Linked DNA regions of Elephas maximus indicus. The protein of the gene in region 2 purifies or fractionates together with the protein of the main gene of each other region. This does not show direct contact. Links are inferred from orthologs where the notes say so. Each region holds a gene or a part of one and is shown on either strand. Other genes may lie near its edges.

Region 1 (12,261 bases), on a different chromosome or scaffold from region 2:
ACGAATACAAAATTCAGGATACTGCTTGCTTGGGGTGGGGCAAGGAACGCGACAGGAAGAAGTACACAGGTACAGAGGCAAAGGTAATGGTAATGTTCTAGTTCTTAGTTTGGGACATAAGATCATAGGTAACCATCTTATGTTTTATATTCTAGATATGTCAAAATTAGGGGGCCCTCGTGGCACAGTGGTTAAAGCACTCGACTGCTAACCAAAAGGTCGGTGGTCCGAAACCACCAGCTGCTCCTCAGGAGAAAGATGTGGCAGTCTGTTTCCGCAGAGATTTACAGCCTTGGAAACCCTACGGGGTGCCTGAGTCAGAATGACTTGTCAGCAGTGGGCTTGGTTTTTCTATGTTAAAATGTATATAAAAAAGAACTATAAGAAAAAAGGGGGGGGGGCAAAAAGGAGTGCCACAAGTGCCCCACAAAGGTCAGTTAAGGTAACACCCTGAGGCAACTCTAGTTTGGTGTGGAAGCCACGGGTGCCCTTTCCATGAGCAGTTCCAATGGAGCGACAAGGTAAAAACTACTGCAGCAGGCTGGGGATGGAAATTAATCTAATGGGAAGAGGTGGAGCCAGGGTCAGGTATTCTTTTGAAGAGTAAAAAGAGTAGCTTAGAGAAATGAGGGCAAGCGATTAGACTGTAACTAGAGGGACACGTCCCTCCAGACACCATTTATAAAAGTAATAAGTAGTGTTTAAAAAAAAAAAAAAAAACCTAAAACATCATCATAATGCCTCAGAGAGGGTTTTCTTTCTTTTTTTAAAATTCAGTTCTTTGTTTTCAAGATGGGAGATGCTTGAGCAAAGTTTTAGGCAGCAGAGAAGAAAAAGTAGAAAACACTGGTCGGAGAATCATGACAGGAAGTCCCAGAGGACAAAGTAACAGAAACGTGGGCAAAGGACTGACCTCCAACAGAAGGGGACACTTTGCTTCAATTGGAAGGAGGAGGCTGAGGGTGTTCAGGAGTGGGAAACTGAGGAGTCCATGAAGGAAAAGCTCAATTTTCTTTAAGCAGGAGGCAGGGACAATCATGGAGGGAGTTTAATGAGATAGGGGCTTGAAGAGAGGGAAAAAGGATCGAATGGCAATGCGGATAATGGACTACCCTCGGACAAGAAAGATTTCCCAGTGGAAGAGTCTAAGTGAAGTAGGAGAGTATACACATCCGAACCATCCTGCGTCCACAATTACTGGGCCCAACCAGCCTGATACGGGGCAGCAAAGGCAGAATGGATTAATCCAGATAAGGTATTACTTGGGGTGATGGCTGTGCTGGTGGGAGAAAAGCCTGCCTAAGCCAAAGAAGGAGGTAAGTCAGGAGGGGCCTGAGGGACTGACTGCTGGGAAGCCTAGGGAGATGTGGGCTGACTTGAGGGGTCAGGGAAGTCCAAGGACAGGTAGATGGGTAAAGGGCAGGCAGCTGGATGGATGGAAGGCTATAGTCCCAGAGAGACAAAGGAGTTTGATTTCAATAAGGCAGTTCCCTCTGCTGAGAGGGACCACGGTAATGGACAGCTAAAGCAGAGCACGAAGGGAAGATAAAGTCAAGGAGGTTAAGGAAATGGGATCCGGAAACCCACCTTTGGTGATGGTCATATCGATGTCTCTGAGGGTCGTACTCGCCACCCACATCCACCACTATGTCACACGAGGCCAGTTTTTCCGGGTCCCGGGTCCGCACAATCTCTGCATCCTGCGGGTGACATAGGAGATGAGGAGGCTGCCGGAGTCGCGCGGGCAGACGATTAACGTTGGGTTTCCGGGGGAGGCAGGGTGCTCGGGCCGCTGAAGAGCTACGAGGGACCCTGTGACAGGAACGGGCTGGGGCGCCCCGGAGGCAGTTGGGTGGGACCAGGATCAGTTTTGTGGGACTGTACCCGGTACTCGGGCAGGAGGCGAAGGAGCGCGCATGCCAGCGCCTCGTCGCAGTGAAAAGTGCCGTTGTGCGTCCCAATTCGGGGTGGTGCCATGAAGTCGCCACGGGGACGTTTGGAGGGCGGGACAGACACTGGGCCGAGCATGCGGCGCCGAGCCTGCAGGGGCGGCAGCAGCTGCAGCAGCGGTACGAGACGGCCCAGGAAGCGGTGGCCCATGCAGATCCCCCGGCGGGGAAGCGGGGCGCCGACCCGGAATAGGAAGTTCCCTTGCGACCCCACTTCCGCTTGCCGGCCGTTCCCACGGCAACAGGCCTGGCAAGAACTCGCGGGCCAGCACAGACTCTCAGCTCCTCGAAGGGCCCCTTGGGTGGAGTCGCCAAGATACACTCCGCTTCACCTCGGTTTACCTCGCCCACTGGACCACCCCATTCCTAGTCCCTGATTAATGCAAAAACAAAAACATTCTGGCCAGCTGGCACTTTTATTAGCGTTAAACACAAGCTCGACGAGACCCCCGCCCCCGCCCTAAGAAGCCATGCCCACAGAGTCCCAGGCCCCTGAAGCAGGGTCCCTCCGCTCTATTTCTGCAACAAGTTCAGGCCTTGGCAGTGGCCTGAGCTGCTCCCAGAGCTGTGAGCTGCTGAATCTTCTGGCTCATCATCTCCATAACAGCTGTGGACGAAAAAGGAAGAGTAAGACCCTGGTCAGAACCTAACCTAGAGGTAAGGAAAAATGACAGGTTTGAAGGCAGACCACTATTTACAGTTTGTTAATAAAGTTTTTAACACAGTGATCCACTGTGGGAGACACACAGTAACACAAATTCAGATCCTACAATGTGTTAAGTCATCAATACATTAACGAATGAGCAAAGCTATTTTTTAATGAGTCAGACATAACCAGAAAATTATAATGTGATAGATTTTTGCCTTTAGAAGTAGTTCTAAGTCCTGACTGCAACAGAATCACCTGGGGAACTTTTAAAAAACACTGACCCCTGGGAACAATTCCCAGAGATTGATTTAGTTGGCCGGGAGTGGACCCAGGCTTGCTTTTTAAACTTCCCAGGTGATTCAACGCACAGCCAGGGCTACAATTGCTAGTATTAGTTTGGGCTATGTTTCTTTCCTGCCATTCTATTCCAATTAGATAGGAGCTCCACAAGAACACAGACATGATTTCCTTCCTCCAAATTTCTCAAGCACCCAACCAGGGATCTACAAATAGTGGGTACATAGGTCGAAAGAGTAACACAGATCTAAAGAATGATACGTGAAAGCACCACAGAAAGAGATACAAAAACATGGTTTTAATTTAGCAAAAGGAACACACCCATGATTCACCCTGCAATCCACTTCTTTACCATGGAGGTCAAAAACAGTGTCAGGAGGTGCCCCAGGCCAAGCTTACCCTGTTTCATGGCATGCTTTTCCTGCAGAGCTGGCTGGATTTTCTCCATCTGCTTGGTAAGGAAGTCTACCTTCCTCTTGAAGAAGTCCTTGGCATCCTCAGCTGTCTACATAGGTCAGAGGTTAATGGGGGATAAGAGCAGACCTCATGCTGCACCTTAGATATTTCCCTGTTTAGAAGGGCATCCACGTTTCCTCCAGCTCACCTTCTCTACATAGTAGCCAGTTCCCACATCGATGAGCACATGTTCCACATCATGTAGTTTCCCAGGGACATACATCTGAGAAGCAAGGATTAAGGGAAAAACTAGCCTAGCATTACCCTTGGTTCCCTGTCAGCCAGCCTACTTGACCTCCTAAGACACTTCTTTTCTAAAATGCTGAGACACAGGTACTGAATAATCTAGAGGCTTGAGAACTATACCTCTAAACTCCAGATGGGGAAAGACAGAGAAAAGTTGGTTCCCTATGGAGAAAATGACATAAGATGGAACACTCTCTTGCCCTGACCCCATCCCCCACCCTCCAAGCAGTTTTCATTAAGACTTCATATTAGCTATTCCAGAAAGTCTAGACACAATGTTTTCCCACTGCTCTAGCGTAGTGAAAGTGAAAAGTCAGCCTTGTTTTTCCTTAACATCTCCAACCATGGACTAGATAATTCCTAAGGGATTTAATGTTCATTATTTAACCATTCCCAACTACACTGCTAGCCCTTCACTACAGTGCTATCACACTTCAAGTCTATGTACTCCCTGGTACTCACAAGCTGTTAGCTGGATGTTGGCCCCAAGTTAGATAGGGGAGCTGGAAAGTGTGTATAATAAGAGGAGTGTTCTCAAAATCATGGGGGACTGTGGAGTAATCAAAACTACCTTCCGGCCCTTTTTTCCCCAGGGGAAAGGAAGAAGGCAGGAGAGCAGTTCTTTTAGCCTGTCAGTTCTCAGACTACAGATTACAAACGCTGTACCACCATAACCTGCTCATGCAAGTAAAACACTCAACAGGTGGACACAATCCCTGTTGCTTAGCGACCGCAGTTTAGGAACAGTTTCTATATCCTATTCTTCTATTGCTCGTGTCTTCTACCTAGTTTACTAGCCAAAGTGTAAACCCCCAGTTTTATCTCCATATTACATTAATATCTTCAAACAGCAAAAGGGAAGTGTGTATAATAAGAGGGGTGTTCTCAAAATCATGGGGGACCGTGGAATAATCAAAATTACCTTCCCCCCTTTTGTTCCCCAGAGGGAAGGAAAGGAGAAAGCAGGAGAGCAGTTCTTGCCGAAAGGATACAGAACTCGTCAGTGGGACAAGTAATTCTTTCCCTGTGAAAGCAATAAAGACAAACACCTGGGGAAAGTTGGCAGCTCCAACGTTAAGACGTTAAAGGGAGTTCAAACATGGCACAGCACCCAGAGAAAGAATGAAAAGAACAGAAACAGGGGCAGCTCTAGCTAAGCAACATGCAAAGGGTTCATGAAGCAGTATACAATATGTAATGGATTGTTTTCTTCCCTCAGGTAAGGAAAACTAGATTAGGAGGTGGTACGAGAGGAGAAGCCGGCTTGCCACATTCCTCAGGTTGCCCTCACCCGCCTAACCCATACCCTCGTTGCTCTTGTTCAGCACGTTCAGACAGTCCTTGGCTTCCACGTACTTGGTCTGTACCACTTTGAGCTGGGCAATGGACGTGGACAGGAATTCCACTTCCTGCATATAACGGGAAACAGGGTCCGTACAGGGGCTTGAGAAAGAGGGGAGCACGGCCGGGGAGGGGGCGGCACCTGGGACGCGGTGGGGCTTTCGGCTGGGAACGGAAGCTTTCCAAACTGGGGAGGAATGCGGGCGAGGGAGTAGTGTGGGCAGGGGAGATATGAGGCGGAAAAGGGGCGTCTCAGGGGCCCGTCCCCACCTGGTCCAGCTGGTTCTTCAGCATTTCTAGCTGCGGTAAATTCAGCTCCGTGATATTAACCGACTGCGCCATGTTGGGAAGGACTAACGAAGGGAAAGCCTGTTCGCCGGCAACGCTCTAGGCGTCCACTGCACATCTCTATGGCTGCGCCGGGAGGCCTCGCTGCGCCGGACATCTCTATGATCCTCCGTCTCGGAAGGGAAGGAGGGACTGCCACCTCTCCGGCGCTCCCGTTTGGTTAGAGAAGTTAACGACGCTCATTCTATAAAGAAACCTAAACCTAGTTCAGTAAAGTTGTAGCAAACAAGACTCCTGCCATCCAGGAACTTAAAAATAAGACAAGTACTGTTGAGTTGATTCCGTTTCATAGCGACCCTGTGTACAACAGAATGAAAACACTGCCGGGTCTTAAAACCACAGTATTGGAAAGCAACGTAATGTATGCTACTCCACGTGGGTGGTAGTGACTGATAGGCAAGGAGCAAGTTCTTTGGACAAATGAATATGAGTCTGGAGGCGGAGAGAACGGTAAGGAGGTACCATTGTCAACCAACAAGTACAGCAGAGTTTATTGATTAATGCAATCTATTTTACCATGTGTTGTATGAGGCATCCATCATCCAGTTTCTTACTGTGCTGGCTTGCATGTTGCTATGATGTTGGAAGCAATGCCATCAGTATTTTAAATACCAGTAGGGTCAGCCATGGTGCACAGTTTTGAGCAGAGCTTCCAGACTAAGAAAGACTAGGAAGAAAGGCCTGGTGATCTACTTCTGAAAATTAGACAAGGAAAACTTTATGGATCACAACAGAATATTGTCTGATTGTTTCGCTTTGGACACATCATCAGGAGGGATCAATCAGTCACTGGAAGAGGACATCATATTTGGTGAAGCAGAGAGCCAGCAAAGGTGATGGAAAAACCCTTGGTGAGATGGATTGACACAATAACCACAACGATGGACTTGAAAATGCTGGTGATTGTGAGGATGACAAGCCTAGGCAATATTTTGTTCTGTTGTACATGAGTTGTACGTGTTGTCCATGAGTTGGAGTGGACTCAATAGCAGCTAACATACAGATAAACATAAGTTAGGAGGGATATATGGAATGTAAAATGCTATTTGTGCTTCAGAGGAGCTTACAGTCCATAAGCAGAATTCCACACACAATCTGCTGCTACAGTACATGGCACTGCCAAGTGTAATAGCTGCACCTTCAGAAGAGAATAGCTAGTCTCTAATATCCACTTAGGAGAGGGGCAGGGCAACTGAGGACTAAAGCTAGTGTCACTCCCAGGATATAGACATGATGGTAACTGGCCAAGATGCTCTCAGTGAGTCTATCTCTACCCTTGGGCCTCTATCCCCACTGAAGAGTATTTTGATGCACTTCTCTCCTTCAGCTCTGTCTGTTGAGGCCAGGCCAAACCAGCTGTTCAATGGCTTTGTCTTCCCAAGGCTCTCAGACTTGAATTCCTGCAATCTGTTCCCACTCACTTAAGTGCCACATACCACATAGTAGGAGTGGGGCAGTAATCTTGTCTTTAAATGTTCTCAAGACGAGTTGCATAAAAGAGAGTTTAAATAACATCTTTATTATATTAAGTCGAAAGGAAATGTTTCATATAAAACAGCGGGGAAAATCACTTAAAATATTTAGCCTAATGGTTTAATCTAAGTTTGGAGATAGAATAGTCACATGGCTTCTGTCAGAGATACGACACTTCCAATGGGTTACCGGAGAGAGACAGGCAAGCCATAGGCGACTGGTGCAGCTCCAATAAGATACTTGAGTCTGGGAGCCTGGCGGGCCTGGCTGACATAGTAGAGAAGGGGGGCCCCTGGACCTGCTCCAAGCCAGCCCTGCAGCAGAGCCGCCGTGTAGCGATCAATGTCACGGTCAGTCACATCCCAGAGATTACCCAGAAACAAGGGGCTGGGAAGAGAAGGGAAGAAATACAAAGTAAGGGCTCTGAAAGAGAATACATAGGAAAACATGATTGGGTGTGTATGGGGTAAGTAAAGAGGGCTGAACTAATGAGGAACTCCCTTGGCCCAGAGTTCTAAGGGTTAAAAGTCCTGGCATACCAGGGAGCTAAGACAGGAAGAAAGTAGAGCATAAGAGAGGTAGGTTCAGGGTTCAAAGCTGGGAAAGAAGGTGGAGTGGGAGCAGGAGTCTTGACGCCCCAGGATGGGCCTGCCCCTCAAGACTCACCAGCCAGCCATGATATACTTGAGCACAATGCCAGCTCCCTCCAGGTTTCCATGCACAGCCAGGGCCGCACTGCTGCAGCCAAACAGCAGGGCCACTGCCCGGCAGCTCAGCCGCAGGACAGCCTGCCCATCTAGGAAGCGGGCACCAGCCCCATGTCCTGCATAGCTAGAGTAGAAAGGGGAGAGATGAGCCTTGACCTACCAGCATCGTGTCTCTGCCCCAAGGCAAACCACAGTGGTCCCCTCCTGGGATGCCCCTCCCCGCATCTCCCCCTCTCTGAGCACTCACATATATAAGTCATGCTCCGTCAGGGCCGCCTGCACCTGCTCCGGGCTTGGGGTCTCCCCAACCACCCCTCTCCAGCCGGCTTCACTGCAGGGAAAAGGCAGCAGTTAGAACAGGGAATGGCATGGCAGGGGCCATGAAGCAAAGAGGACGCTAGGTAGAAGGCGGACTACAGCAAAATTCTGGAGAAAAGGACATGTTGTCTCTACCCTTCCCACCCGCCTTTCTTACTCTCACCCCTCTGACCTGCTAAAAGTGGCTCGAAATTGCTCCTCTGTGCTTGACAGGTTATTGTGAGGGTTCAGGACATAGAAGGTGCTACGTGGATCCACGCCTTGGCTCAGCACTGATGAGGCCCCGGACTGAGGAGGAGACACTGGTGATCAGGATACTGGTCTGGCCAGTAGGCCCAAGTTCCGGCATGCTCCAAGCCCCTTTCCATTTCTGACGCATTCCTAAGGCCCACTCATGTCTCTAGAGCATTCTGCCTGTGTCTTGCCTCAGGTCTCCCCCAGTAGCCAATCATCCCCAGCTCCACACCTTGAGCCTCACCTCTTTGATGATGGAGTAGGTGAGTAGAAAGCGGAAGGAGGGCAGACGGGTGAGAGGCAGTGCCCGGAGGCTGGGCATGGTCTCCCATGGCAGCTTCTGCAGGTCCTGGGCAAAAAGTACTCAGAGGTTACTGTCCCCAGCCAGGTATACATAACAGGCAGAAGGCGCACAGGGATGGGACAGCACCCATTGTCCATCTGCTCCTCCAGCTCCTTACCTTATCTAGCACCAAGACAAGGTGCCTATTGCTTGGCACTGTCAGACCTTGTAGATGTCCCACTGCCTCACTTAGGAGCTCTCGGGCTCTCTCCGGCTGGGCTGGGCACAGCCCATAGGCCAAGGCCTGAATGTCCTGAGGGGTGAGAGTACTGGCACCGCTGAGCAGGATCTGCAGGGGAACAGTGGTTAGTGGGTGCCATCACCCACTCACAGTGGCCTTTTTGCTAGTGGAAGAGAATTAAGTCCGCAGGCTAACTGCTTCTTCCCCTCCCTGCTTTCTTAACTCACTTTCAGCAGAGTGGGATTGGGATATTTCCAGCCACATTCCTGCAGCAACTCCTCTAAATGGGAAGCCTCCTGGCCAAGGCCTGGGTCCTCACTGGATGGCAGCAACAGCCCCCGCCAGCAGCCCAACACATACTTCTCTAGGGAAGTGATGAGAACCTGAAGGTGGGAGAACAGAATCTTGAGTCAGAGAGGAAGCTAAGTTTCTTTCCCCATGGGTACCAGCATTCTGGAAAGAAATGAGTTTTCCAATGTGTGTATTTGTCTTGTATATCTTTCTGCCAGTCATAGAAGGTAAGAAACCAGGGGCTGGGACTCTGACATGGTGTCACTCTATTTTGACAAATGTGACCAAATCCAGTTGCTGTCAATTTTGACTAATGGTGACCCCATGTGTATCAGATTAGAACTACGCTCTGGCATCCCCTGAGCCATTCCTAGGGCAGGTCTGCCTTCACCCCACCCTGGGGGCACACACCTCCATCCTATGATCCAGTTCGAGTCGCCCCTTCCACCATTCTCGCTTGTCAGTACAGCTGCTGTTCTCTTTCTGTTCCTTCTGGATGGCATCAAACTCCTTTAGGGCTGAGCTCAGAGAAAGCTTTGGGAGACAGGGTCATGAGATCTCTGCTTGTCTGCATGACTGCCATCTCTCCATGCCCCAGCCACAGAGCCTGAGCAGCCTGACCAGAAACCCACGCCAGCCCTACTTTGTCCCCTGGCCCAGGAAGCCTACCTTGCTTTGGGAAGTGGGGATCTGCACAGTGACCGGGGGATTGTCTTTTTCCAGCCGGGTCAGCAGGAGGGTGTTGCCCACAGTTCCAGGCTGGAGGGTGGCCAGGGCCAACACACACACAGTCACCCCTGACACAGAGGACATACCCCAAGTTATTTCAGCTGTTGCAAAGAATTCCCTTCTCTGGCTTCTGTACTAATCCCTATCCAACACTCGAGATAATGCACGAAGTCTTCCCTTGCCGTGGGGTTCAAGGTGCTCTCCCTTGCCCTAACAGCTCCCTGTGGACAGAGACCATGTTTGGAGTTCTTTGTGTCTCTCACAGCAACTAACAAAGGGCCTTGCACAGAGTAGGGCACTCAAATCATCTGTTAAGCATTTCATATTACAGCAGGGAGACACCAGACAGCTGAGCTCACCCCTGAAGACACTGAATTTGCTGATAACTCAAAGTTGAGGCTTAAAAAAGGAAAAGATTTCCAGATTTAAGATGTCTGGTGAGAGATACAAAATAACGAACACAGGAAAAGGTATGACATGTCTTTCCATAAGGATCATAAATTAACTAATGCCTTAAACACCTTTATCCAACTTCTCAGGAAGGAGATATATAAAAGAGCAGGCCAGAAGCCTGCCACTGTACCACTGGGGATCAGAGCCAGGCGCTCCTTGAAACTCTCCTTCTCGGGCTGGGGAAAGTGGCCAGATCCCGAAGCTCTGAAGGAAAAGAGGCGCTGGATGTGGGCCAGGGGGACATCTCCAGCCTTCTCCTGGAGGCTTAGCCTCTGCAGCTGCTCTGACACTTCCAGTGATCCTTGGTGCTTCTGGGCCTTGCTGCAAGCAATACAGGTAGGGGTGAGCTTCCCACTCCTTCAAAATCGAGACCCTCCTCCAGTCTGTCCCAACCTGGGTCCCTCTGCTCTTAGTAGGAGCCTTAGGGATGGTGGGCACTCACCTGAGCTGCCTGTGGAGGTGGGTGAGCAGCTGGTGGCGACAGGTGATAGAGACAGACTCGGTGACAAGGAAGGCAGTGGCATAGGGATCCCGGTGGCCCAGACACAAGGCCAGGAAGCGGCAGAGGTGAGCATACAGTCCACTAGGAGGGCAGTGACTGACCCCACGGAAAGCAAGGCTCAGTGAGTCACAGATGGAATCCAGGGTGGAGAGACCTAGAGGTAAGTCAAAACACTTCTACAGATGAATCCCCTTCTTCCTAGTTGACAGGAATTTTCCAAGAAGGAATCCCTATCTCCCATATGAAAGCAGCAGCTACCATTTACCATGGGTCAACTTACTCCATCCTCCCAAAAACCCTGTGGGTAGATATCACTTCCATTTTACAGTTAAGGAAACAGAAGCTCAGAGATGTGAAGTGACTTGTGCACAGCCAGCAGAGTGAGAGTGCTGAGACTCAGACCCAGGTTCAAAGGCTACCAGTTCCAGACTAGGATCCAAAGCCAGAACCATGCATGGACAGACTGGAAAGGCATTGGGATCAAGAGACCTAGAGGTGCACCCTCTCCAAGGGACCAATCTTCAGGGGTCAGCATATTCACCAATGGCTACAGGGGCTGAGGGGAGCTGGAGACGAGGGCCGAGGTCCTTGTTGCGTTTCTTGTCTGGGCACGGAGTGGGCAGCTCCTCCTTGCTGAAATCCCGTCTCAATACCTCACATTCTCCTACGGCTGCATCAGGTCCTGGAGCTGGTGCCTTCTTACCTGGGGAGAGAATATGACTGTTTCACAGAGTTCTCTCCTGCCATCCCCTTTGTTCTCCCTTTTGGAGCCATTTCCTCAGAGCCAGCAAAAGAACTTCCTTTCTGTACTGCCATTGGCACCAGTAATTTCTTCAGCTTTAGTCCCAGAACAGCCCCCAAGAAATATATTCACTCTCTACCCTGCACCCTTGCCATCATACCTGAGGCTGAATCTTCCCCATCTGAACCCCTGAGGATCTCAAAGCTCATTTCCATCTGGTTGCCAGCCAGTTCCTCCTCTGGGATAGTCCTCATGATCTCGGGGGCCCTCTGGGCCCGCTCTTCACAATGTCCTGATACCACCTTCTTGGCGCTCCGACTCCTGCCACTTGGGCCAGGGTGCCCAGGGACACTACCTGGGACAACCACCGCATTAGCCTTCGAGCTTGAGCCCTTCCTAGTCCGGCCCCGGCCCCGGGAAGCAGAGCCACATCTCTTAGGCTCTTCTGTAAGCTGTGCCTCAGCTGAGACAGAGTCTTCCAAGTCACTGTCATCACTGAAGTTCACCTGGGATGGATGGAAAAGGGAAAAGAGCCAAGAGGCCTTCAGTGGCAACACACCTTCTGGCAGCAGGTGGCGCTATGGAGTCACCCCTCAAGATTTAAGAATTACCTTGCCGCATACACTCCCCCAACTCTCAATCAGAGGCAGTTACTCTAGGATGTGGAAGGAGGGAGAGGAGGGAACAAAAGATATGGATGAGAAGGGAGAAGAAAAAGAGTTAAGGAAAGTCCATCTGAAACAAAGGTAGACGTGGAACCACGTCTTGCTGTGGAATACCTAGGGGTCAGGTAGGTAACAGGAGTGATTAAGGTTTCACTGGGCCCTGGGAATCTATCCCACAGGGACACTTGCTCTGCAGAACTTTCTTCCCCAGGACCATGCCCACCCAACACCACACAACCTAGCCATAGTCCCACCTCACCTTGAGGCGCGTCTGGACCTTCTGTCGTACCCTGGGGGCCTTGGGAACCTCAGGCTTGCTCTTCGTAGGGAAGACTTC
Region 2 (12,152 bases):
GATAAACAGAAGTTTAGGGAATTTGTAAAAAGCAAACCAAAACTACAAGAAATACTAAAGGGAGTTCTTTGGTTAGAAAATCAATAATATCAGGTATCTGGGCAGAGCAAGCAGATGTCAACTTAGACAGTGAAGATAAAAAAAAGATTAAAAAATGCTCAAAACAGGGAAACAGCAATGTTATCATGTAAAAGCATACAACATTAAAAAAAAGAGGGACTAAGAAATGTAGTCATAGATCTTTCATATGGCAAGGAAGACAAGGCGATACAAAGAAATAAGTTGAAATTTAGAAAAATGGGGTAAATATTAAGGTAACCACAAAGAAGACAATCTATCCTACATATGAAAATACAATACGAGAAAAAAATAGAGACTCAGCAGAAACAAAATCAACAACGAATATGAGAAAAACACAATATATAAACTACTCAGCACAAAAATTTAAGGGGGGAAAAGAAACTGTCAACAACACACAAAAAAAGATATCAAAATGATAGCACTAAATTCATACCGATCCATAATTACGCTGAATGTAAATGGACTAAATGCACCAATAAAGAGACAGAGAGTGGCAGAATGGATTAAAAAACAAGATCCATCCATATGCTGCCTACAAGAGACACATCTTAGACTTACAGACACACACAAAAAACTCAAAGGATGGAAAAAATATATCAAACAAACAACAATCAAAAAAGCACAGGAGTGGCAATGTTAATTTCTGACAAAATAGACTTCAAAGTTAATCCACCATAAAGGATAAGGAAGGACACTATAATGACTAAAGGGACAATATACCAAGAGAATATAACCATATTAAATATTTATGCACCCAATGACAGGGCTGCAAGATACATAAAACAAACTCTATCAGCATTGAAAAGTGAGAGAGTAGGAGACTTCGACACACCACTTTCGGTGCAGTCCAGAAAGAAGTTCAATAAAGAACCAGAAGATCTAAGTGCCACGATTAACCAACTTGATCTCATAGACATATACAGAACACTGCACCCAAGACCAACCAAGTACACTGTCCTTTCTAGTGCACCTGGAACATTCTCTAGAATAGACCACATATTAGGGCATAAAGCAAAGCAGCAGGATCCAAAACGCTGAAATATTACAAAGCATCTTCTCTGACCATAAGGCCATAAAAGTAGAAATCAATAACAGAAAAAGCAGGGAAAATAAATCAAACACATAGAATCTGAACAATACCCTGCTCAAAAAAGACTGGGTTATAGAAGACATTAAGGATGGAATAAAGAAATTCATAGAATCCAGTGAGAATGAAAACACTCCCTATCAGAATCTTTGGGACACAGCGAAAGCAGTGCTCAGAGGTCAATTTATATCATTAAATGCACACATACAAAAAGAAGAAAGGGCCAAAATCAATGAGTTATCCCCACAACTTGAATAAATAGAAAGACAGGAACAAAAGAAACCTTCAAGAACCAGAAGAAAGCAAATAATAAAAATTAGAGCAGAATTAAATGAAATAGAAAACAGAAAAACAATTGAAAGAATTAACAAGACCAAAAGCTGGTTCTTTGAAAAAATGAACAAAATTGATAAACCACTGGCCAAACTGACAAAAGAAAACAGGAGAGGAAGCAAATAACCTGAATAACAAATGAGATGGGCGATATTACAACAGACCCAACTGGAATTAAAAGAATCATATCAGATTACTATAAAAAATTGTACTCTAACAAATTTGAAAACCTAGAGGAAATGGATGAATTCCTAGAAACACACTACCTACCTAAACTAACCCAAACAGGTAGAACAACTAAGTAGACCCATAACAAAAGAAGAGATTGAAAAGGTAATCAAAAAACTCCCCCCAAAAAAAGCCCTGGCCAGGATGGCTTCACCTGCAGGGTTCTACCAAACTTTCAGAGAAGAGTTAACACAACTACTACTAAAGGTATTTCAGGGCATAGAAAAGGACAGAATACTCCCAAACTCATTCTATGAAGCCAGCATATATATCCCTGATACCAAAACCAGGTAAAGACACCACAAGAAAATTACAGACCTATCCCTCGCTATGAGTCGGAATCGACTCGATGGCACTGGGAGACAGACTGGGATCCCTCAAGGACATAGACGCAAAAATCCTCAACAAAATTCTAGCCAACAGAATTCAACAACATATCAAAAAAATAATTCACCATGACCAAGTGGGATTCATACCAGGTATGCAGGGATGGTTCAACATTAGAAAAACAATTAACCTAATCCATCATATTACATTATGGACAAGAATCACATTATTTCATCAATTGATGCAGAAAAGGCATTTGACAAAGTCCAACACCGATTCATGATAAAAACTCTCAGCAAAATAGGAATAGAAGGAAAATCCCTCAACATAATAAAGGGCATTTATACAAAGCCAACACCCGACATCATCCTAAATGGAGAGAGTCTGAAAGCATTTCCCCTGAGATCAGGAACCAGACAAGGATGCCCTTTATCACCACCCTCATTCAACACTGTGCTGGAGGTCCTAGCCAGAGCAATTAGGCTAGATAAAGAAATAAAGGGCATCCAGATTGGCAAGGAAGAAGTAAAAGTATCTCTATTTGCAGACAACATGACCTTATACACAGAAAACCCTAAGGAATCCTCCAGAAAACTACTGAAACTAAGAGTTCAGCAGAGTATCAGGATACAAGGTAGACATAAAAAATCAGCTGGATTCCTCTACACCAATGGAAAGAACATCGAAGGGGAAATCACCAAATCAATACCATGTACAGTAGCCTCCAAGAAGATAAAATACTTAGGAACAAATCTTACCAGAGATGGAAAAGACTTACACAAAGAAAACTACAAAACACTTCTGCAAGAAACCAAAAGAGAGCTACATAAGTGGAAAAACATACCTTGCTCATGGATAGGAAGACTGAACATTGTGAAAACGTCTATTCTATCAAAAGCGATCTATAGATTTAATGCAATTCTGATCCACATTCCAACGACACTCTTTAATGAGATGGAGAAAAATCACCAACTTCTTATGGAAGGGAAAGAGCCCGGGATAAATAAAGCATTTGTGAAGAACAGAGACAAAGTGGGAGGCCTCACTCTACCTGATTTTAGAACCTATTATACCACCACAATAGTCAAAAACAGCCTGGTACTGGTACAACAACAGACGCATAAACCAATGGAACAGAACTGAGAATCCAGACATAAATCCATCCACATATGAGCAGTTGATATTTGACAAAGGCCCCAAAGCAGTTAAGTGGGAAAAGACAGTCTTTTTAACAAATGGTGCTGGCATAGCTGGATATCCATCTGCAAAAAAAAAAAAAGAAATAGGACCCATACCTCACATCATGCACAAAAACTAACTCCAAATGGATCAAAGATCTAAATATAAAATCTAAAACGATAAAGATAAGACTGTATAAAGCTCTCAGATGAAGTTCATCCTCTGAATTAGATTTCTAAATACATCTCTAGCTGAGCACCATGAATGTAGTAAAAAGGCGCTGTTATTGTTGTTTAGTGCTGTTGAGTCAATTCTGACTCACAACGACCCTCTGTACAACAGAAGGAAGCACTGCCCAGTCCTACGCCATCCTCACAATTGTTGCTATGTCTTAGCCCGCTGTTGCAGCCACTGTGTCAATCCATCTCATTGAGGGTCTTCCTCTTTTTTGCTGACCCCTCTACCAAACATGATGTCCTTTCCAGGGACTGGTCCTTCCTGATAACATGTCAGGCACTCCTTAGAACTGCGGGTTTAAGGCACTAAGGAAGTGTGACACTTAGTTATGAGCTTACACTATGGGTCAAGCACTGTGCTAGGACCAGAAGTAACACTGAGCAAGAGAACTACCATGGGCTGCTGGGTAGTGTGAAGGGTTAAGCACTCAACTAACAGCTGAAAGGTTAGCAGTTCAAACCCACCCAGAGGCACCTCGGAAGTCAGGCCTGGTGATATGCTTCCAAAAAAGTTACAACCTTGAAAACCCTATGCTGCAGTTCTACTTTGCACACATGGGGTCGCTATGAGTGGAAATTGAGTAGAAATCAACTCAATGGCATCCAACAACAAGAGAACTACCATGCCTTCCTCCACCTAGCAGAATATGGTGGGTAGGCTGTGGAACCCCATGGATGGCCTAAGTTCAAATCCTAGATACCTCACTTACACCTTGTGTGACCTGTGACAAGTTACTCAAGGGCTCTTTGCCTCACTTTCATCATCTGCAAAATGGGAATAAGAATACCTACCGTCTAGAGTTTTACAAAATCCTTAGAAAAGTGCTGGCACATAGTAAACACTGAAAAATTTTATCTCTTGTTACAACTGTTGGGACATAATTATAAAGAAATAAATGGTACCAGCTCGGGGAGAAAACAAAGAAAATAGTTACAAAATTATATCAACAAATGCAAATACACGATATAAACCTGAAAACCAAACCTGTTGGCTGTAGAATCTATTCTGACTCATAGCGACCCTACAGGACCAAGTAGAACTGCCCCATAGGGTTTCCAAGAAGCAGCTGGTGGATTTGAACTGCCGACCTTTTGGTTAGCAGCCAAGCTCTTAACCACTGTGCCACCAGGGCTCCATACAATATTAAGTGCCAATCAAAGTGCTCTACACAAAATAATAAAGAAATGAGTCTTTTGAAGAATGTGAGGCATGATTAGCAAAAAAAGTAGAGGTAAAGCAATCCAGGTAGAAACCAAACCGAAAGTTTGAAAAACTTCCGTTGATATTTTATAGTACCTCTGCCAGAACTCAGTAAGGACAGACAGATAATACTGGCCTGGAAGGACAGTCAGAGATTTTCTCTCGTTATTCAAGTAATATTTCTGAAATAGCTTGACAGAAGGACAGAGTTAGTAGCTTCTACTTTTTTTTTTTACTTGCTTCTCTTTGTTTGGACTTGGGTTGGTCTCCCCGTGAAGCCTCCAAATTGCGTCCCCACCTTCTGTCTGAACCCAATTCTCCACTAAGGTGTTAGAATGATGTACCTAAAACCAAATATGATTATACCGTGGCTTTATTTAGAAACCTTTTCATGGCAGTCCACTGCCTACTGGATAAAGCCTCAGTTACTTAGCAACACATACAAAGAACCTCAGGATCATCCTAATCTACGTTACCATCCGTCTCTCCTACCATTCCCCCAGAGACAACAGATCACTGCATTCCTTCAACAGATCAGGTCCAAAACCAAAAACCAAACCCAGTGTCGTCGAGTCGATTCCGACTCATAGCGACCCTATAGGGCAGAGTAGAACTGCCCCACAGAGTTTCCAAGGAGCGCCTGGTGGATTCGAACTGCCGACCCTTTGATTAGCAGCCGTAGCACTTAACCACAACGCCACCAGGGTTTCCACAGATTAGGTACCAGCCTCTATTTTCACATCTTAATACCTCAAAACCAACTCTTCAGCCTACACCACGTTCGATTCATTATATTCTGTCCAATTATTTGTCTGTCTCTCCAGCATCTAGGCTGAGTCGTGAGCTTTTTCACGTTAACCTTCTCTAGGTTTCCAAAGGCCGCAGCTAAAGAAACCCGGCAGCGGTGCGGTCCCTCAGGTCGCCCTGCCTGCTCTCCGAGCCCCGTCCGCCCCTGAGTCCCGCCAGCCCGCGCTCCCTTTTCTCTCAGGCCGCATTTCCTCAGGGTGGACCGCAGTTGAGATTAAACCGTTTAGATGCGGTGAGGGAGAGAAGGCCGAGCACTCCCGCCCTGGACCTTGAGCTCAGCTCCGTCCTCCAAGAGTCAAGGCCGAGGTGGGGTGAGAGGACGAGAAAGCTCAGTCCGTGGCCTCGGGCCAAGGAGCCTCGGGCCCGCGTGCCTCTTACCACAAACACGGCCACGGGAATCCCCAGGTGGAGCCGCCGCCCATTCCCTGTGGCCACTTCTCCGAGGCCACAACCGTCCTTAGCAGCCGCCATCTTGGGGAAGCGTGTGCGGCCAGGCTCCAGACTAACTGCCTCCCAGGCCGCCGGCCCGCCTGAGGGCCGTGATTGGCTCGCCAGGCCCTGTAAGCCCGCCCCTTTCCCGTGAGTCTGCTCAATAATCGGTGCGCGGAAAGTAGCTACTCTTCGCTGATTCGCCCAACCTGTGGGTGCTGATTGGCTGCCCCCAGAGTGACAAGCGTGGAGGCGGCAGCCTAGGAGCGGCTGAGGGCTGCTGGAAGGACTAATTTCGACCCTTGGGTAAACGGGTCTCGGGGATTTTATGGGTGCGTTTAGGGCTGGAGAGCCCGGGAATCGGGAACCAGCCTGGACTACACTCCACCCCAGAACAGGCAGCATGCTCCAGAATGGCATCCCGTTCGACCCTGTCTCTTCTCGGACAAGATCTAACTTGGGACCTAGACGCTTACCATGGGAGTTTGGCCTCTGCCCCTTTCCGGTCTCACCATACAGGGAGCTTCCTGCTCCATGGAGGGGACTTAGCTGGTGTCTTATGAAGTGCAGCCGCTGGCCTGATTCTAGTCAATACTACCCCCATCGTACCAACCTTTCCCGAAAACCGCCTTTGTTCAGAATCTCATAACCCCAGCTCAAAGGTTTTCCAACTTCATAATCTCTGTATAAATTCCTGAGAATTCTACCTACACTCCTAGGCCCACAAACTTCCCCAGCAACGTCCTGCACTACAACACATTGAAAGAAAGAGCTTTATTTTTTGAAAACAAGGAATTCTTGGGTCTCTTTGCTGACATCTACCTACCATGCTTTGTTCTTCCCTTTGCTTTCACTGGAATGCTTCCTGAGGAGCCCTTCACCCCCTCAGACACAGTCTACCATGAATAAGGGATAAAAGCCTGTCCCCTTCCTTAGTGGGGACACATATACGTAATAATGATAAAAACCTGTTGCCATCGAGTTCGACTCATAGTGACAGAGTAGAACTGCCTCATAGGGTTTCCAAGCAGTGGCTGGTGGATTTGAACTGCTGCCCTTTTGGTTAGCAGCCCTAGTGCTTAACCACTGTGCCTGTGCCACCAGGGCTCCAATAATAATACTGGCTAACATTTATTAGGAAGCTCTGGTGGCGTAGTGGTTAAGTGCTATGGCTGCTAATCCAAAGGTCAGCAGTTCAAATCTACCAGGCTCTGGGGCAGTTCTACTCTCTCCTATAGGGACTCGATGGCAACGGGTTTGTTTTTTTTGGGTGAACATTTATTAAAATCTAACTGTGTACAACTTAACAAAAAGACAACCCAATCAAAAAAGGGTAAAGGACTTGAACGAGCATTTCACCAAAGAGGATATTCGAATGGCCAACAAGCACAAGAAATGATACTCAACGTCATTAGCCCTCGTTACCATTGTTGTTAGTCAACTCGGCTCTGTCTCACAGCTACGTTGACTGGTCCTGCACCATCCTCACAATAGTAGGTATGTTTAAGTCCATTGTGGCACCCACTGTGTCAATCCTCTTCCTCCTTTTCACTGACCATCTACCAAACATGAATGAAGTCCTTCTCCAGGGACCTGGTCCCTCTTGATAACATGTCCAAAGTAAGCGAGACAAAGTCTCACCATCCTCGCTTCTAAAGAGCACTCTGGCTATACTTCTTCCAAAACAGATTGGTTTGTTCTTCTGGCAGTCCATGGTATATTCAATATTCTTCACCAACGCCACAGTTCAAATGCATCAATTCTTCTTCAGTCTTCCTTTTTCATCGTCCAGCTTTTGCACGCACATGAGGCAACTGAAAAGACTATGGCTTGAGTCAGGTACATCGTTGTCATCAAAGTGACATCTTTGCTTTTTAAGATTTTAAAGAAATCATTTGCACCAGATATGCCTAATGCAATTGCAGGGCAATAGATTGCTTTTATATGGCCTTTCTCACCATGGTTTTGTAATTCCCACCAAATGACAGGGCGGGAATATGCAAATGATGTGCTTGTGGCCCACCAAGGGGACTGGATAGCTTGCTAATAATGTAAATAAGGTGCATGGCACCCTTGTGGGGCTGGAATCATGCAAATAAGGTGTATGGAACCCTAACAAGGGGATTGATCAGTTTTGCCATTCTGCCAGCCTTAAAGGGTGTCTTAGTCATCTAGGGCTGCTGTAACAGAAATACCACAAGTGGATGGCTTCAACAAACAGAAGTTTATTCTCTCGCACGCTGGTAGCCTAGAAGTTCGAATTCAGGGTGTCAGCTCCAGGAAAAGGCTTTCTTTCTCTGTTGGCTCTGGAAGAAGGCCCTTGCCATCAATATTCCCCTGGTATAGGAGCTTATCCATGCAGGAACCTTGGGTCCAAAGGACATGCTCTGCTCCCGCCACTGCTTTCTTGGTGGTATGAGGTCCCCGTTTCTCTGCTCACTTCGCAAGAGAGATTGGCTCAAGACACAATCTAATCTTGTACATTGAGTCCTGCCTCGTTAACATGACTGCTACTAATCCCATCTCATCAACATCATAGAGAGAGAATTTACAACACATAGGAAAATCACATCAGATGACAAAATGGTGGATGATCACACAATACTGGGAACCATGCCAAATGGATACACATATTTTTGGGGGACACAATTCAGTCCATGACAAAGGGACACATGGAGAGATGGAGAGAGGAGCTGTAACATGGAAGACAGCAAGAGATGGTGGCTTGAGGTGGCAGGAATCAGGAGACTGGTGCAAGATGGCTTCAGTGGGGTTTGTTTGGTTTTAAGAAGTCTTCAGGGGATATTTTTGGTTTAAAGTTTAAAAATTATTTCAGGGCAATATTTTCCGGGGATCATCCAGCCTCCATGGCTCCAGAAAGTCTGGAGTTTATGAGAACTTTAAATTCTGTTCTACATTTTCCCCCTTTTGATCAAGATTCTTTTATAGAATCTTTGATCAAAATATTCGGTAATGGCAGCCGGGCACTATCCAGTTCTTCTGATCTCATGGCAAAGGAGCAGTTGTTCATGGAGGCAAAGGAGCAGTTGTTCATGGAGGCAATTAGCTACACATTCCATTTCCTCCTCCTGTTCCTGACTCTCCTTCTTCCTCTGTTGCTCTAGGGGAATAGAGAACAATTGTTGTGCCTTGGATGCCTGCTTGCAAGCTTTTAATCTTTTGATTTCTTGACTACTGCTTCCATGGGCCTTGGTTATTGACCTAAGTAAAATAAAATCCTTGACAACTTCAACATTTTCTCTGTTTATTGTGATGCTGCTTATCGGTCCATTTGTGAGGATATTTGTTTTCTTTATTTTGAGGTGTAATCCATGCTGAAGGCTGTAGTCTGTCAGTCCACCATCTGGAGTCAGTGTCTCATACTGTGGTGGCTTGCATATTGCTGTGATGCTGAAAGCTATGCCAACAGTATTTCAAATAACAGCCAGACCACCCCTGATGGACAGGTTTCAGTGGAGCTGGGAGACTAAGATATTAGGGAAATGCAAATCGAAACCACAATGAGCTATCATCTCACTTCCATTAGAATAGCAGTGATCAAAAAAACAGAAAACAACAGGTGATGGTGAGAATATGGAGAAGTTAGAACCCTCATCCATTGCTCGTGGGAATGTAAAATGGTGCAGCTACTGTGGAAAACAGTTTGGCAGTTCCTCAAACAGGTGAACATAGAACTACTATATAACCTAGCAACCCCAATCCTAGGCATATACCCAGAAGAAGTGAAAGCAGGAATGCAAACAGAAACCTGTACACCAGCGTCCAAGCCAAGGGGCCCTGGCAGTAGGACTGTTGTTTTTGTTAGGCGCCGTTGAATCCGTTCCGACTCACGTTGTTGTTGTTCTTAGGTGCCGTCGAGTCAGTTCCAACTCATAGCGATCCTATGCACAACAGAACGAAACACTGCCCGGTCCTGCACCATCCTTACAATTGTTGTTATGCTTGAGCTCATTGTTGCAGCCACTGTGTCAATCCAACCTCCTTGAGGATCTCCCTCTTTTCCGCTGACCCTCTACTCTACCAAGCCTGATGTCCTCCTCCAGGGACTGATCCATCCTGACAACATGTCCCAAGTATGTAAGACGCAGTCTCGCCATCCTTGGCTCCAGGGAGCATTCTGGTTGTACTTCTTCCAAGACAGATTTGTTCGTTCTTTTTGGCAGTCCATGGTATATTCAATATGCTTCGCCAACACCACAATTCAAAGACGTCAACTCTTCTTATTCATTGTTTTCCTTATTCATTGTCCAGCTTTCACATGCATAGGATGCGATTGAAAATACCATGGCCTGGGTGAGGCGCACCTTAGTCTTCAAGGTGACATCTTTGCTCTTCAACACTTTAAAGAGGTCCTTTGCAGCATATTTGCCCAATGCAATGTGTCTTTTGATTGCTTGACTGCTGCTTCCATGGCTGTTGATTGTGGATCCAGTTAAAATGAAATCCTTGACAGCTTCAATCTGTTCTCCATTTATCATGATGTTGCTCATTGGTCCAGTTATGAGGATTTTTGTTTTCTTTATGTTGAGGCGTAATCCATACTGAAGGCTGTGGTCTTTGATCTTCATCAGTAAGTGCTTCAAGTCCTCTTCACTTTCAGCAAGCAAGGTTGTCTCATCTGCATAATGCAGGTTTTTAATGAGTCTTCCTCCAATCCTGAAGCCTCATTCTTCTTCATATAGTCCAGCTTCTCGGATTATTTGTTCAGCATATGGAGTAAATAGGTATGGTGAAAGAATACAACCCTAACGCACACCTTTCCTGACTTTAAACCAATCAGTATCTTCTTGTTCTGTCCGAACAACTGCCCCTTGATCTATGTAAAGGTTTCTCATGAGCACAATTAAGTGTTCTGGAATTCCCATCCGTCGCAATGTTATCCATAATTTGTTATGATCCACACAGTCGAATGCCTTTGCATAGTCAATAAAAACACAGGTAAACATCCTTCTGGTATACTGTGCTTTCAGCCAGCATCCGTCTGGCATCAGGAATGATATCCCTGGTTCCACATCCTCTTCTGAAACCAGCCTGAATTTCTGGCAGTTCCCTGTTGGTATACTGCTGCAGCCGTTTTTGAATGATCTTCAGCAAAATTTTGCTTGCGTGTGATATTAATGATATCGTTCTATAATTTCCAGATTCAGTTGGATCACCTGTCTTGGGAATAGGCATAAATATGGATCTCTTCCAGTCAGTTGGCCAGGAAGCTGTCTTCCATATTTCTTGGCATAGAGGAGTAAGCACCTCCAGCACTGCATCTGTTTGTTGAAACATCTCAATTGATATTCCATCAATTCCTGGAGCCTTGTTTTTCGCCAATGCCTTCAGAGCAGCTTGGACTTCTTCTCTCAGTACCATCGGTTCCTGATCATATGCCCCCTCTTGAAATGGTTGAACATCGACTCATTCTTTTTGGTATAATGACTGTGTATTCCTTCCATCTTCTTTTGATGCTTCCTGCGTTGTTTAGTATTTTCCCCATGGAATCCTTCACTATTGCAACTCGAGGCTTGAATTTATTTTTTCTTCACTTCTTTCAGCTTGAGAAATGCTGGATGTGTTGTTCCCTTTTGGTTTTCCATCTCCAGCTCTTTGCACATGTCATTGTAATAGTTTACTTTGTCATCTCGAGCTGGCCTTTGAAATCTTCTGTTCAGTTCTTTAACTTCATCAATTCTTCCTTTTGCTTTAGCTGCTCGACGTTCGACAGCAAGTTTCAGAGTCTCCTCTGACATCCATCTTGGTCTTTTCTTTCTTTCTTTTCAATGACCTCTTGCTTTCTTCATGTATGATGTCCTTGATGTCATTCCACAACTCGTCTGGTCTCCGGTCATTAGTGTTCAATGCGTCAAATCTATTCTTGGGATGGTCTCTAAATTCAGGTGGGATATATTCAAGGTCATATTTTGGCTCTCATGGACTTGCTCTGATTTTCTTCCGTTTCAGCTTGAACTTGCATATGAGCAATTGATGGTCTGTTCCACAGTTGGCCCCTGGCCTTGTTCTGACTGATGATATTGAGCTTTTCCGTCGTCTCTTTCCACAGATGTAGTCAATTTGATTTCTGTGTGTTCCATCTTGTGAGGTCCATGTGTATAGTCACCGTTTATGTTGGTGAAAGAAGGTATTTGCAATGAAGAAGTCGTTGGTCTTGCAAAATTCTATCATTTGATCTCCGGCTTTGTTTCTATCACCAAGGCCATATTTTCCGACTACTGAT

What was found.
Region 1: the proteins of VBP1 (region 2) and PFDN5 purify together in Homo sapiens (affinity purification with mass spectrometry; 7 studies listed by BioGRID and IntAct, counting the BioPlex papers as one, with this or other methods). This does not show direct contact. The link is inferred for Elephas maximus indicus from reciprocal best matches to the Homo sapiens genes VBP1 and PFDN5.

What each region holds. Positions count from the first base shown.
Region 1 is NC_064822.1:108,804,527-108,816,787, reverse strand, and holds PFDN5 (prefoldin subunit 5), read right to left. Parts: upstream 5,317-12,261; 5' UTR 5,281-5,316; coding exon 5,209-5,280; intron 5,007-5,208; coding exon 4,904-5,006; intron 4,622-4,903; coding exon 4,590-4,621; intron 3,575-4,589; coding exon 3,500-3,574; intron 3,401-3,499; coding exon 3,295-3,400; intron 2,557-3,294; coding exon 2,480-2,556; 3' UTR 2,380-2,479; downstream 1-2,379. Other genes in the region: MYG1 exonuclease, read right to left, coding at 1,588-1,700, 1,885-2,100; ESPL1 (separin), read right to left, coding at 6,945-7,146, 7,426-7,590, 7,714-7,797, 7,957-8,072, 8,263-8,367, 8,480-8,650, 8,770-8,925, 9,245-9,367 and 6 more. UniProt on the Homo sapiens protein: Binds specifically to cytosolic chaperonin (c-CPN) and transfers target proteins to it. Binds to nascent polypeptide chain and promotes folding in an environment in which there are many competing pathways for nonnative proteins.
Region 2 is NC_064846.1:781,976-794,127, forward strand, and holds the start of VBP1 (prefoldin subunit 3), read right to left. Parts: upstream 5,983-12,152; 5' UTR 5,951-5,982; coding exon 5,858-5,950; intron 1-5,857. UniProt on the Homo sapiens protein: Binds specifically to cytosolic chaperonin (c-CPN) and transfers target proteins to it. Binds to nascent polypeptide chain and promotes folding in an environment in which there are many competing pathways for nonnative proteins.